2 linked regions of the Lepisosteus oculatus genome follow. The protein of the gene in region 2 purifies or fractionates together with the protein of the main gene of each other region. This does not show direct contact. Links are inferred from orthologs where the notes say so. Each region holds a gene or a part of one and is shown on either strand. Other genes may lie near its edges.

Evidence for each region.
Region 1: the proteins of actin-related protein 2-B (region 2) and churc1 purify together in Homo sapiens (affinity purification with mass spectrometry; 4 studies listed by BioGRID and IntAct, with this or other methods). This does not show direct contact. The link is inferred for Lepisosteus oculatus from reciprocal best matches to the Homo sapiens genes ACTR2 and CHURC1.

The regions. Positions count from the first base shown.
Region 1 is NC_090703.1:20,995,146-21,002,911, reverse strand, and holds the start of churc1 (protein Churchill), read left to right. Parts: upstream 1-4,499; 5' UTR 4,500-4,586; coding exon 4,587-4,625; intron 4,626-5,342; coding exon 5,343-5,478; intron 5,479-5,815; coding exon 5,816-5,886; intron 5,887-7,766. UniProt on the Homo sapiens protein: Transcriptional activator that mediates FGF signaling during neural development. Plays a role in the regulation of cell movement.
Region 2 is NC_090712.1:9,089,392-9,097,672, forward strand, and holds the start of actin-related protein 2-B, read right to left. Parts: upstream 3,438-8,281; 5' UTR 3,348-3,437; coding exon 3,300-3,347; intron 1-3,299. Other genes in the region: N(4)-(Beta-N-acetylglucosaminyl)-L-asparaginase, read left to right, coding at 4,503-4,611, 5,764-5,902, 6,636-6,792, 8,245-8,281. UniProt on the Homo sapiens protein: ATP-binding component of the Arp2/3 complex, a multiprotein complex that mediates actin polymerization upon stimulation by nucleation-promoting factor (NPF).

The DNA.
Region 1 (7,766 bases), on a different chromosome or scaffold from region 2:
TGTACATAGTTTTACATTTAACTGACTTCAGGCTTGGAAAAATCTACTGCTTTGAGAGTAAGTGGTGTTAACAGGACTGTCAGTTCAAAAGACTGCATCCCTCTGCATTTAATATTGCAGGGTTAGACTCTGAAATTTAGAAATTTGTGTAGGATAGACCAGATTAAGCTTGTACCTCAGAGGAACAAATAGGCTATACATTATGTACTTTACAGTGCCAGCTACAGGGTTAATATTGTAGCTTCAAAACACACTATAGATTTCAATCTGATATGTGCTAATGTTGTGAAAATGTGTCTCTGGGTTCATTGTTACAGCTGTACCTGTACTCACCTCATCTTCTATAGTAAAGCCTTAATTTGTAAATTTAATCTTTTATTTTAAGGTGTGTGTATTAAAACAATAGCAAACTGTCTCACTGTGTTACCAATATAGCATCAAACCTGAGGTGAAAACAAGTACTGTACTATATGAAGTATGAACACCTCCTGACTGTGGAAAAGCTCATAAAAAGATATTTGCTTATGGCCTGCAAAGACAAGAACACTGGGCTCTCCCCCTTTGATTGAAAGAGCAGTTTATAATTGCCCATTGCCACTCTGTGAATTCTGATGTTAGAATACCCTCTAGATTGACCTAATCTACAGTGGCTGAAAGCATAATAGGGATGTGATAGAATAACATGGGTCAATGATAAAATATGGAGATCAAACAGTCCAAAAAAAAATCCCCTATTGTTGATTCATTTGAAGGCTGCATGCTACAACACATTAATGTTGACATAACTGGGTTACTCTTGGAACCTAAAATTAATAATTCAAATGAAGGCTGATCTCTTTTAAAGAAGGATGTACAGATAGTTTTATTTTTATAAATATATATGTGTGCAAGAATGTTTACAAGTTCAAAATAACAAAGATTATTTATGTGTTGGAGTGGATTTTGTATTTTTTGTATTCTGTTCTGCTTTTTAAAATTCGTATCACAAGCATTTTTGTATTTGCATTTAATATTTTTTAATTTTTGGAAATTATTTATGAACGTATATATTTTTTCCACAATATATTTGCTTTATTTAAAAATCCTGTGTGCATGTGTTTTATAATGTATAAAATATCTGCATTATGTTCTCTGCTGTGGTTGTACTTAGGCTCTGTAGTTGAAATGCCTCTAATCCAATAGCAGTATGTATTTGTCTTTTAAATGAGGAATGATAAGTTTCAGGATTCTTGTGGTTATTAAACAGCCTGACAGATTTGTCAAAAAGGTCTTTAAAACATTCACCAGTGGAGTCTAAACTGTCTTGTTTGGTGACCATCATCTTACTGATCCAAGAGTCCTATCAAGCTATTTCTTGAAGTGGGACAAGTGTTTTTTTTTCCAGACGGCATCTTATTTTGTGTCCTGAAAACTCCTCATAATTCTTACTTGTGTCCTTCTGCCACTGGTGGTCTTAAAGACCTCTCTTGCATTGAAAATTGCTATTCAGGATTTTTGTAAAAACACCTAACGTTTTCATGTTAACAATAACAGTGTATACGTTTAAAATATTTTGTGCGAGAAGCTCTTCTCTGTGTAAACACCAGTTTTGCTGTAATGCCCGTTGTAAATGGGTATTTCATTTATCAGCTCTTCAGTCAACTTTGGGTTAATCCTTTTGCTCTTTGTCTTTGAGGTACTCCATTACAACAATAATAATGAATAGATTCAGACCTGATACATACTTGGCCACGACCGGCTGTTACCAAGTCACATATGATGGTTTGAAATCAGTTTATTCTTCAATCTCCCATCTGTTAGCTGACTAAAAAGTGAAAAGCGACATGCTACTCACTTGCATCCATTCATTTCCTAATCACTTTATCCAGTTCAGGGTCACGTAGGAGCCGCAGCCTGTCTTAGCGAGTAACAGATGCAAAGCAGGATATACCTTGGATGGGACACCAGTCCATTACAGGGCACACACAGACACACACATACTCGCACCAGGACCAATTTTCCCAGACCTACTAGTATGTCTTTGGACTGTGGGAAGAAACCAGAGCACCCGGACCAAACTCAAGTGAACATACAAACTCCACACAGCTAGCATGTTTGGAATTGAACCCAGGGCCCCAGTGCTGCGAGGCAGCATTGCTAACCACTCTGCCACTGTGCTGCCCCCAACACAAGTGCAATTTTTCATTAAAATTGCTGAAAGCCTTAAAACTGAACAAAAATTAAAGTTAACATGTCACAGATCGGGCATGGAATGGTGGTACAGTGAATAGCATTGCTGCCGCGCAGTAATAGGGTCCTGGGATCAATTCCGGACCTGCTATCTGTGTTGAGGTGGTATGTTCTCCCCCATGTTAGTGTGGGTATCCTCCCAAGTGCTCAGGTTGCCTTCCACTGTCCAAAAAAAATACTGGTAATAATAATTGCTTTATGCTTCTATAGCACTTTTCTGGGTGCTCCACTCAGAAAGTTTTACAGGTAATGGGGTATTGGAGACTCCCCTCCTCCACCACCAATGACTAGGCCCACTTGGATGCAATGGCAGCCAAAGTGCACCTGTACACTCACCACACATCAGCTATCAGAGAGCAGAGTGATTCATCTAATTCATAGTTGGGGATTAGGGGCAGAGTGGTAGCACTGTGGCTGAAAGGTTGCCGGTTCAAATCCCACGGCTGGCAGAGGAATCCTATTCCGTTGGGCCCCTGAGCAAGGCCGTTAACCCCAGCTGCTCCACGGGTGCCATATAAATAGCTGACCCTGTGCTCAGACTCCAAGCTTCTCTCTCCCTGTCTTAAAAAATTTTATTGGTAAAGGCCAGTGGGAAATTTGGTCAGGACATTGGGGATAAGACCTCAACTTCTTTCAAGAAATACCCTAGCATTTTTAATGACCGCATTCAGGACCTTGGTTTTATGTTTCATCCGAAGGACACTGCTATATTTGAGCACATAGGTAGCACCCTGCAGTCTGTTTGTCCCACTAACACCTATCCCTTAGGTTTCCTCAGAAGTCTCACATCCCAAGTATTGGCCAGGCTCATCCCTACTTAGCTTCAGTGGGCTGCCAGTTGGTAGTTGCAGGGTGATATAGCTGCTGGCTAGTAGATTAATTGGCTTCTGGAAAATTGCCCCTAGGTGTGAGTGGGTGCATGTTTATCTATGTGTTTTTGTCTGTCTGCCGATGGACTGGAACCCCATCTGGGGTGCACCCTGCCTTGCACCCCTTGCTTGCTGGGATCAGCTCAGGCTCCCCTGCTCCCCTGATTTGGAAGAAACGGATAGAAAATAGATTTCACAGATTGCTTTTAGACCTCAGGTAAATTATGCAGCTACCAACAAAAGGAAATTGGAAGAATCATAAGTACTGCTCTGCATTTGGTGTATAAAAAATTGGACTAAATACTTTTTATTAGGCTGAAAATGGAGCTGTAGAAAAAAAAATCAAAAATACCAATCCCTCTTTTCTATTCCAATAAATGGATTCCATTTTCCCTGAAATGAAGAACACAACCCTGCCCTATGCACTGGAAAGAGCTGCTCTGTATTTCACAAAATTACATCAGCACCATGACTGCTGTAGCAGCATTTTCAGTGAACTCTGTGGTTAAGTATAAGTAAAGTCCAATGCAGTTTTTTCAGGCTTTTGACTTGGGTGGTCAGAATTTTACAAGGAAGCTTGCAAAGGATGTGCACTGCCTCTGACCCAATATGGATCCAGGCTATAAGTACAACAATTGGTTATTTTCCAGACTGGCAAGAAGATGACCTGATGTCTCATGAGGTGCCTCACTTTTGAGGTGGAACATAGCAATTTGGGGCCAATAGAATCTGGCGGGTTACGCTGATATCATTTGGTAACTAAACCTTTCTGCAAACGGCATGTGATTGAGGGCCCAGGAACGTTGGGAGATCGCTCTAGGACATGTGTAGAATGACTGGAATGACATCATCTGAGTTACTACAAACTTCAAGCATGCATGGATCAGTTTTCACAGGGGCAGCTGCTGCAGGATTGACTGCATAGCAGAACAGGGCCCGAGGCACAGTCTGGTGTCCTGCTCCTGCATCTATTTGTTTTCAGCACTGTCTTGTACTGCCACTGTTTTACAAAATAGCTGGTTGTCCATCTGAAGCGAAAGGAACTGAAAACGAAGTGGCAGTGCTCAAGAAACACTATATACTGAAACTCTATCTAAAACCAATGCAATTCAATCCAAAGATGTTTAGGTTTAAAACTTGGTACAAAAGTGAAACACTATGTTTTTGGTATATAGCCTACTGTATTCGTATTATTAAAAATAGAATTATAAACAGTACGAACAATAGTGACTATTAGCTGAAGAAATATGCTTATAAGCAAGACTCAAAACAAGGAAAATATCAGAATTTTTTCTGTTTAAAAAAATGTTAAATTAAATTTTATTAGAAGGTTGATTCGTTTAAAACCTTTTTTGCATCCAGTAAAGAATGAAAACGTCATTGCTCCGCGACAGAGCGGAAGTGGGTGCAGTTCGTGTATAAGTGAACTTCCCAGTTAGGAAGAACAAGTTGAAGTTTAAGTTGTTAGCAATATCTAGTCGACAAAGTATGTGTGGAGGTTGTGTACAGAAGGAATACCCTGACAGGGTAAGATAAATAGATTTTTAAAGTTCGTCCGTGGCTAAAACCATGTTTTGGCTAGTGTACATTTTAAAGAAATGTTTTAGTGCATGTGTATTGGTTTTGTTCACACGGATTTGAATGTTCACGTCTTTTATTCAGCAATATTCATTAAGGCTCATATTTTAAAATACATTGAATTCGGAAACTATAAAACTCGTTCATGTATTTGTTTACTTTTCCTAAAGTATTTTAAATGGTTGCGATTAACGTACTATACGCGCAAAGGAGCTCACTTAAATATAAATCTATTGTGGTTTGATAGTTGAAGTAGCACAAAAGATTTTGTAGTGCAATAAAATGAAAACGATTTATTTCGAAAAAAAAAACACTGCTACTCACATATTACCGTAAGCATTGCTTCTAGACGTTGATTTATACTGATAAAGCATGTTGTCATTCGCAAAAATTGCAGCACACCTCAGAAATTAAAGATTACTGTGCTCCTGTAATATAAATAATTTAAGATAAAAGTACCGGAAGAACAGATGAGGTGGGATTAATAGGTTTAACTTAATCTTTACACAGCATCATGTTCTTTACCTACATCATAATTCTTTGGTTTGTTGTCAAATTCGAGCAAAACTCCGGAGTATTACACTATTGACTATCTTAAAATTAGTTACCTTTTGAGATATCTCAAAGGATTCATATTTGCTCACCCTACCTCCCTTTCATTTCCAGGGTAGCACATGTTTAGAAAATGGGTCCTATTTGTTGAATTATGTGGGCTGTGCAAAATGCAACCAGCGGGACTTTGTGATGATCGACAACAGAGTCACAGAAGATGACGATGGAGAAGAAATTGTCACCTATGACCGTGAGTTTATGTCTTTGATGTACAAATTGCCCCAAAGAGGAATGTCCATTTAGACAGAGGAACTGTCTCAGTGGCAGGCAGTTTGTGTTGGGGGGGAAGAACGATCTTCAGATTTATCCCCAGTTAAACCCCACATACAGTTACCCTTGTGTAATTTTAAGCAACGGTGAATCTCCCTGCTGGGATGGGATGAAATTGTGCTGAAACTTATGATAAAATTGATTTTTTGTTTTTACATTTTGCTTTCATCCTAAAAGATCCAAAGATTTTTGCAGGGGCAAAAGCCCTCCTTTCTCCTCCATAATCTCTTGCTTTTTTCTCACTCTTGTTTTAACAGATGTGTGTAAAAATTGTCATCACATCATCGCAAGGCATGAATACACCTTTTCTGTTGTGGATGAGTACCAAGTACGTACCCATAATCTTTCATTCTTTGTGCACACCAGTAATTATGTGAGTGAAAGATATTCTCCAATTTATTAAGTGTAAGAAATGGTTTTCCTTATTTGATCAAGTATTATTTTTGGCAAGTATAAAGCAAAATTTTGTAATGAACTAAGTAGTTTTAAGAGTGCTGTTATGTACACACAGAGCACAGAAGAGTCCTGAGTCCTCAGAGAATGTTGTGTATTATACGCAGGAGGCTTTTTTTGCATGAAGCCTCACGGGAGTCTAGAGCAAGTTATATTAACAGCCATATTGTGGAAGCTGACACAGTGGTTTCTTTCAAAAAATGGCTGGATGAGATCATTGGATCAGTTACCTATCTACAGCCAAACAAACTAGTTGGGCAGAATGGATCTCACAGTTGTACAGAACCATTCATGTGAACTTGAAGAAAGGTTACATATTTTATAAATTTCATTTAACCTAGGTCTGGACTTCTTCATATTCTTAATAAAACTACGGTGTTGAATGTTTATTTCCCTGTCAAATATAAAGAAATCAAGTAGGTTGACTTTGTCAGTGGGGTTTTTGAATATTTGAATCAGATCCAGTTCAAGACTAAAAAGATTAATTTCTTGTAGCTTCTCAGAATTGGATGGGCTTTTAGTTCCAATTTTTTAATTGAGGTTTTACAAGTGTTTTCAAGATAAACAACTGAACCAAGTTTCTATGTTGTAAATACCCTATATTACAGACCTTAGATCCCTCTTTTCTCCACACCCTAAATCATTGAGCGTAAGAAATATGGCAAAAAACTTTTAGGTTCGGAAGTATCTGTTCTTACTTCTCTCTGAATTAAGTCTTACTTATGCATTGTACATTTTCAACACAACACTAGATTTAAGTATACCAAATATACCAAATCTATATACCAAAGTTTGGTTTGTATTGCCTCCCTACATTGTCTAGAACAGGAGATCTCAACCTTGGTCCTGGAGACCCACATTAATGCTGATTTTGTACCAGCTGAGCGCTGTCTTTAAATGTCCTAACAAGTCACTTGATTGGAAATTTTTCTTACTTGTTAGTGAGTAGAAAATAATGCAATCTTAATTTAATTATGCAAGACAATAGTTAAAACAGCCTCAAACTGGTTTAGGAAAATAACTCAAGAACTGAAATTATTCTTATTATTGGTCAATTAACAGCTCATTTCTGTAACTGACAGCTCAGCCAGTGAGTAGGTCTCCAGGCCCATGGCTGAAAAGCCCTGGATCAGAAGATGAAATTGTCCTCATAGACGCTTTAGTCTTTTCCCAAAATACTGTAGCATCTTCTTTTATCTGTATTTTGATTCTCCTACAGAACTTGCTTGTAAAACTCAACACTTACATTAAATGCAGTCTGCCAGGCGTATGCCCAGTCTGAAAGTTTAGGAATTTCCATGTTTCATTTCCAGATTCTACACTGTTTGTTAATCCTTCTATTTTGTTATAATATTCAAATGTAACCAGTTTACTAACTATACAAGAATTTCTATGTTATTATACATTAGGAATGTCAGTGGTCCTAGCACATATCCGTGTGTTTCTCCTTTAATTACATCACCCCTAATTTAAGTGTACTGTTTTATATTCCTTAATTACCATATCCAAATACATGCATGTAAGTTCCTCAAAAAAGATACCTTTTACCAAAAGCTTTCTTGCTGCCCATTGAATGCTCATCTTGTGCCCATTACTGCTGTAACTTGTTCAAGTTACTCCTAACATGTTAGTTTAACAAGATCTAGTTTTTCTAAATCTATTTTAGCTAACTTTGTGAATCATACTATCATAGAGATGATCCTCTATTAAAGTTCTAATTCTTATTTTTTATAGTCCTGTATGTTTTATAGTCCT
Region 2 (8,281 bases):
CCAAGATGGTTTTGTCGATAAATGGAACTTACTTGTTAACTGTACATGTAAATCATGTTGGAGACATTCTGTGGTGAAATATCTAATGCACAACCTGGACTTAGTTGCTTGTACATCACATTACATAGCTATTATGGTGACTAGTGTGCAGGAAGGGTGGTTTCACATCACAATTCGCGCAAACTCTCATGGATGCGAGATGTAAACAGCTAGTGCAAGGCAGACTCCCTCTGTGCTGGAGAGCCAGGATCCAGCACACTTTACGAATCACCTTTAAATCATCAATTTCTAAATGACTGGAACAATTTCATTTTGACCACTTAAGCAGGGGACTGGGTCAATTTAGCAGTGTAGAAATAATTACAACACTCTGTGGCTCCCAAGGATCACAGTTGTCTGTTCCTGATTTACCAGAAGTAAACCGATCGAGTTCTTCTCTTCCAAGTCTTTAGAAACCGATGATTGAAGGCAAACCTACAAGACCTACTGGATTCTCTCGCTCTCAAGGACCAGGGCTATCCCCATACAGGCATGTGGAACAGGACACTAAAATAGCTAACTACTGTAGGTATTTCCACAGCATTGCAAAACTGACCATGTTCACCGAAAAGTACTGTCTAGCTGCTACACTAAGGAAAGAATGCAGATGACCTGTCGCAACAGGCATGCCCACAGCCACACAAGCACTGAAGGCTAAAATCAGCAGTCACCGTGAGCTTAATCTCTGCAACTTTCTTCTAGACAGACCTACTCAGAGTCTCGTGTCCAAGCAGAGTGACCAATCCATTCTCTCCGATAATCCGACTCTTGTTGTACAAACAATCTAGGTCTAGGTTAAATGATTTTTTTCAAGGGACACCTCCCCAGTAGTCCAGCTGGGTGAGACCAAGCTAGTGAGGGTTACGAATCAAGCCCCAGGGTCACAAAACAAGCATGTCACAGAGCTGGAATTCAAGTCTTTTGTAACCCACTGTCCAGACGCCTACCTCCAAAAGTGCACACAATACTTAAGCCTGTGATAAAACAGCCAATATGCAAGGTGCTAGAATAGTTTGTAAGACATACAAAAACATTTCAACTAAAACTATAATAAGCATTCATACAGAAATAGATTTGATTTGTTGTATAAAACAGTTAAAGTTCTTTGGGCTGTGAATGTGGTTTCAGTGCTGATCTCACTTCCCTTTGAGTCATCAGTCAAGCAGTGCACAACTAGCACTTTTCTGCAACGCACATTAACCAACATCCTTCAAAGTGCTCTGTTAAGTTTCCCTCCCTGTGCAGTCCAGCCGGCAAGTTAATGTGCACTAGTTCAGAAAAAAACGAAACGCACGTTTCTACTGCCAAATCTCCAAGCTGAAAAAAAGAACCCACCCACTGCTCTTATCGCTAATGGGCAGAGATATCTGGACTGCTCGGTCTCTAAACGATTTATGCAATCAGCTCATTGTACCTGAGCTGATTTAAAAAGGAAACAAATGTTGTTCTTTTCAGGTTGAAATTTTATAAGCGTCCTCAGCTCGCTGGCAACCTGTTCTAAAATCTGTTCTTAAACAACAGTTGTAGAGTGCAACTACTTAATTATCTTTACACAAATTAATCACCACTGACCAAATTATTAAAACGGTGTAACACCACAATCAAAAGCCTAAGGCAATACATTTCTGTACGTGTTCAAACATTACTCACAGTATCTCCGCATTAAATATGCAGCAGTGCATGTTTTTATAGGGATCTCACCGTGGCGAATAAATACATCTAACTACACCTAATACATTTCATCTGAACTGCCACTTCCACAGGTATGCTTCAGAAGCAGTGCTCTGTAGTCTTCACACGCTGCAATGATGAAGAAAGCTAAAAAATACCTCCTGTGGCGCTGGTAAACTAATATTTGACAGAAAAGGGACACGCTGCTATGAGCTTTCTTTTTTGATGGACGGAGAATGGAGTGCACTGTGAAAAAAAAATACATAACCTCCAGTGTCCCAGAAAAAGGACAGGATGTCCATCTGACTGGTGCTTTATTTAGTCAGAACGAATTTACTTATTTATGAAAGGACTGTAAGTCTGTTTGCAATATGTTCCTCACTTACAATCTGCTGTGAACTTGGAACCCAAATACTTCATTTTATTTAAGCCGCTTTTCCGCAGTGAGTTTCATACATCAAGGAGTATCAATAAGACACCAAGACAGATGGACGGACTGAAGTCATTCTTAGTAAATCGGCAGGTTCTTAAAGTGATTTTTCTTAACGTTGTTCTTTACAATTGTTTTTCTTGGTTTGTCATTTCGCAAAGAAAGTAAATTCAGAAGCGCTTTGGGAACTAACGCGAAGAATGTGTTTGCATGTACAGACTTGAACAAACAGACGAACTGTGGCAACACACAGTACGGCAACATGGCTGCTGTATGGAGGAAATATCAATCTTTTAATCGCGGAACGCGTCACCTGTTTCACAAATGATCGGAATTTACAAATAAAGGGGCTAAAATGAGAGTTGTCCGAGCAGGGCTTTCTAATCCCGAAAACCTTCCAAGCGAAGCGCCGCGACAGATAGCCCTGCGTGATCTGACATCCTGTCGAGCTCTGTAAAACCGCAAGCAGGGGCTGTACCAGTGATAACTGTATAAGGACATTTCAAACTACAGAGGCAGAGTGCTGGTGCATTTTCAACACCGCTGTGCAACCGCTTCCAGTTTCTGTCGCCCTCGCAAACAATACTGCCCCAATTCATTGATAAAACGGCACAATCCGTAGCTTCGACTTAGAAACTTTTTTTTTGTTACCAGAACAATGCGATTCACCTACGGGGCACTTAAATATACCGTGATGGCACCGATGTACTGATGGTTCGTCATACATATGATAGGGGAGAGGAGAGAAACATCTAATGATTTCACCGGGGACATGCGAGCTCCGTTTCTTCCCCTTACGGACTAAATTCCAGCAATTATCCCCTGTGTTGGCCCTTGGTGGCAAGCGATGACTACATCCATACAAAATGCACAATGCCAACACAGTCTACCCACTACTGCAGAACGTGGCTCAACAAGGGATCTTAGCGTTGAATCTAAAACGTATATACCTTGTGAGCACCAGATTAAGCATCAGTCCCTTTGAAGAAAGCGGAATTGACAAGCTGACAGACTCACATTCCTTTGCCTACCCACCCAGTCAGCTAACCTCTTTACTTCCTGTTTCAGGCGATTCTATTTTCCATAGCCACAATCAGCCATAGAAGAATCGGGCAGAAGCACAAATCACCGAAAGTAAGAAATCTGTCATCAGACCTACCCCGGTTCCATTGTCACAAACCACCACTTTCCTTCCCTGACCGTCCATTTTTCAGAATCCAGGAACCTGCAGACCTCTCCTGCTCAACTTTCTTCAGCAAGCCGGAAATCACCACCCCGGCTCCCGGAAAGGGTTTCTTCCGGTAAGTCTGCCATGTGACCCGAGCTTCCACGTTAGAGCCCGCCCGTCTAAAAAATGGACGTGACGTTATCCAATCACAATGGAGAAAATTGCGGCAGCTGTGGCAGCTCATCCTGGTACCTGAACTGACGAGTTATTGACATGGCGTTGCAGCCAATCAGATCTTTAGGCTCTACGTTACAGTTGAAGATAAGTATTCTTTTCAATGAGCCAGCGAAGACCTTGTCGGTTCCGAGGGAAAAAAGGGTGTGTGTTGTTTTGTTTGATACAGGAAGAGAATGAAAATGTTAAAATGTTTATAAATGTACTTCTGGTATTGTCACATACAAATTACCATTTGCTATAGACATGAGGGATGATAATGCTACAAAACTAATACGACATTTTGTATTAGGCAATAAGAACAACAATAACAATAATAACCAATATACTGAATGGTGCTATAGTAAAACACTAATCTTAATACAATGTGTCGAAAATACAATGTTAACATAGTTTTAATGTTCTACGGTAATCTTATGAGATTTACTGACCGATTTCAATAGTATTTAACAAAAAATGCAAAACATGTAAAAGCTTGCAAAGGTAACACAAGAAAAAAACTCTCAGTGTGGGCTTTACTTCTAAATTGAAAATGAAACCAGGAAAACAAGTAGTAGTCGGACTAGAAAAAAATACTATTAATCCTCAATATGAACCTGTTGTTCCTGTCTTCTCAAAGTATACAACTATAAATACCACCCCTGGACTTCAGACAGGTGCTGAGTAGGTACAGTCTGTGAGGCCTTGTGCAAGATAAAACACTGTTGACTAGCAAAGTGACAAATGTCGTGACTGTGTATGAAGATGAATCACTTATCGGCCTGTATCTGTGTATGAAAATGAAGCAATTAAAGGAATACTGATTTTTCCACTCCATTGAAGGTTGTTTCTGTAAATTGCCTCATTTTGTAGAATAAGCCACTCCTTAGTCTCCTGGAGGTGTTTACTAAAATTGTCTGTTCAGCAGGTGACCCAAAATCAGTACCTGCTACATGAGTATCACCAGAGATCTCTGGAGGAATGGCTGCTGTAGGTACCTGGTCATTTTCACTGCCCGCTGTAGAGAAAATGAGGTATTTAATTGTACAAGGACAGCACTCCACTGATTGTGTGGAACAGGCTATGGCAGGTAAGTGACACTCAGGACTCAACACTACAACATCTTGCCTAACACTCGGCTCTACATTGAGGTGATATAAAGGAAATAAAACATCACACAAGCCTCCACACAATACACAGTACCAATGCATTTCACTTAAATCATTACAAAGATCGGTTTTAAACACGTGAGGAGACTTATCCAAATGTAACTGATCTTATTAAAAGGTCAGTTTTCTGCTGCTATGGGTGTCCATTGCAAAATGTGACCAATATAAACATTAGGGCTAGATTTGATCTATTCCTTTGTTTTACCAGCTATGTCAATTAAGATCAAATTCAAATTATTTTCACTGATGGCCTGGGGCTCCATGTATGAGTGGGAGGAATGTAGGCATGTAAAAAGAGTAAGTACCCGGTTGAAGAGTACAACAGCAGCATTTACCTGGGATTCGAGCACCCGATCCTTGTGGTCCAGAGAGACAACCACTGTTCCACTCTGTATTTCGAAGGATTGTAAAGATTTGTAGGCACACTCGGATAATGTCACATCAGCGGCTCGTTTTATCTTTGGGACAGCCATGGGAATTTGTGCCTGTTTGCAGATTGCATGGCAATCTATGGTTTTCTGCAGTTGTAGTTTTTATTTTTCTAGAATAGATACTTAAAATAGTTTATTGAGTATTAATGACCAAAAAAAAACTAAATGAGATTAAGATCATATTAATCAGAACTAATAGGGATAATCACATCAGGGTTACCTGAATGATAACTAATAAGAAGTCCTTACACTTATATAGTATATTATATACGCTCATCACATACCAGCTATCAGTGGGGAGGAGAACAGAGTGGTAAAGCCAGTTCATAGATGGGTATTTTTTAGTGACCACAGAAAATCAGGGCCTCGGTTTTACATCTCATTCTAAGGATGGCACCTATTGAACAGTATAGTGTTCCCGTCACCATACTGGGGCATTAGGACCCACTCAGACCGCAGGGTGAGCGCCCCCTACTGGCTCCACTGACCCCACTTCCAGCGGCGACCTCAGTTGTCCCAGATAGGTCTCCCATCCAGGTGCTGGACAGGCCGGGTACTGGCTTCAGTGTGTTGTCAGTTGTGAGCTGCACAATGATATAGCTGCTGAAGAGCTCTGCTCACTGGAGCTCTGCGTGTTTCTAGATATTGAGAATGACAGGGAGACGGGCCGGTTCGTCGTGGGCAGAGGGGGCTACCCCAACAGCGAGGGGCTGGTTGAGTGTGACGCTGCGCTCATGGAGGGGATCGCGGGCCGCTTTGGTGCAGTGGCAGCCCTTCAGGGGTAAGACAAGTATACACCCTTTACATCGAATTGTTCCTTTTTACTTGCTCTCCTTTTTGGCAACCTTGATACTTTAATCCACAAAGCCAAGAGCGGTGACTCCTAGCCAGCTTCACTGCTACATTTGAAGTGCTGAAACCTTGCAGCCGATGAGTGCGACTGTTCTGGTGAGAGGCTGATTAAGTATCCTGTGCACCGCCTGTCTTTTTCCTTTTGTGCTTTTATTTTCGGCATGTCATGGAATCTGTCTCTTTGCCTCTGTGCTAGACGACAAATAAGTGTTTTCAGAGAGAAAATTGCAAGGTGTCAGCCATAGTCACTGGCTTTAACAGGACACGCTTTAAATAATGAAGTACTGTGTCCCCCAGCTTCCAAGCAGGAGGCTGATCAGGAGACTGATGCATTTCTAAACACCGGCCCAATGGCGCCCTCTAGTGTCGATCCACGTCGCTACAGTCTTTTCTCTACTGCTGTGGAGACTTTAGCCAGGTGGCAGTAAAAGTCCATTTATGTGAGCTCAATAAGACAAAATATTTGATTATTTTTAAAAGCGCTCCCTCAGCTGTTCAGTTTTAGCGTTTTAAAGTGTTGTATGTCTGAAGAACATGTCACAAATGTTTCTCTACTGTACTGTGTTCCTCCCGGTTAGCATCCCGTTCCTTCGCAATCCGGTGGATTGTTGTGCCCCCTATGTCTGTGCCCCTGACGCGTGTGTGTGGTGTGTGTGTGACAGTGTGGGGACTCCAGTCAGAGTGGCCCGCAGAGTCATGGAGCAGAGCTGTCACAGCCTGTTGGTCGGGGAAGGAGCCCTGGCGTTTGCCCTGGAGCAGGGTTTCACCGTGGAGGACAATGAGAGCATGCTGGCTCCAGAGACAGCCAGGGCCTATCAGGTAACATTCACCTCCAGCTGCTGAATTATAGATCATCAGGGGCAGCCTATGTGGGTCTCTTGTTATTCAAAACTGCACGGTAATATCCATTCGATATGTATTCATATTTACATATTAATACCTGTACACGGGCATTATTAATGTTCACACACTGCATTCCAGCACAAGTGATCCTGTTTACTAATGTATTAATCCTGACATCTGTCAAACCAGAATGTACAACATTTTGTGTTTTACTCTGTCTTGTAAAATGAAGTGATTTCTGTGTTTTGAGACTAAGAGAAAGAGGCAATTTGGGCAAACTGTCCAGATGTTTATTGAATAAATACAATTACAGTATGTACCAAAAGTTCATAGTGTAGTCACACTATGTTTAATGCACTGACAAATAAAAACCCCAAAGAAGAGGCAGGTATACAAAGAAAAAGAGAAATCATGTTTTTGTACTTTGTGAACTAACAAAATAACACTTTTTAAAACAAAACATTCATCTGTGTTATTTAATTTTTGAGACATCTATATTTGTAAACTAGAAACCAATGTAATTGTAGAGCACAGGAAAATGTTTTATTACAATTTATAATAAAATATTTATATGTATAAGTATAGAATTAATATTGTTTTATTTTGAACAATGTTTTATCTTTCTGATTTCAAGGATTTTTGTTCACAAAGACCACTCATGTCAAGAGTGGCTCAAGTAGCAGTACTGAAATACTGCAGTCTGACGTGAGAAAATACAGAAAATGTCAGCTGGAAACATTAAGAAAGCCATTGAAATCAATTTTGAGAGCATGGAGAGATCTAAGATCTCAAAGTGTCTGGCAATGAGTGCTTTGCAATGGCTTCTGTAGCTCTTCAAACCCAAACACTCTCTGGTCTTTTCTGGTGGAATAGAAGGACGACAATGGATATGTTATGTCCAGATAGTTTTGTCTAAAAGTATAAAAGTTTTCATAAAAACATTTGGTGGGCAATACTGGATCTTGACTAAGCAGAAATAAAGGAGAATTTGCAAAAAAAGGGTGTGAAATTCCACAGACAGCTACTTACAGTAGTTCCTCTTAAAGGAAAGGGTCTAGAATTGTCTGGTCTTGGAGTAATTCATCTCATTCTCGCCAGCCTGGAGAATACTTTCGAGATTTTCAGTACCTCTGATTAAAAGCTGTACAGTAATTAAGAACTCCTAATGAAATTACACGGTCAGGTGACAGGATTCTACAAGAAGTAATTGCTTTTGTATTTGCTTCAGATTAATTAGGAAAGCATCAGTTTCCTTCAGTCTTAATGCCTGGTTTGAAACAGTTGGTTTTAAAAGTAAGCTACCAGTGTAATCCATATACTGTAGGTAGGACAATTCCAACTATTGTTATAAATTACACAAATATGCTGAAGTTATATATTTTTAAATATTTTAACAAAATTATGTTTATCCTTTCTATTATATCTAAGGATTTTTTAGAAAAGAAGAAAAGTTTGTCTGGACACG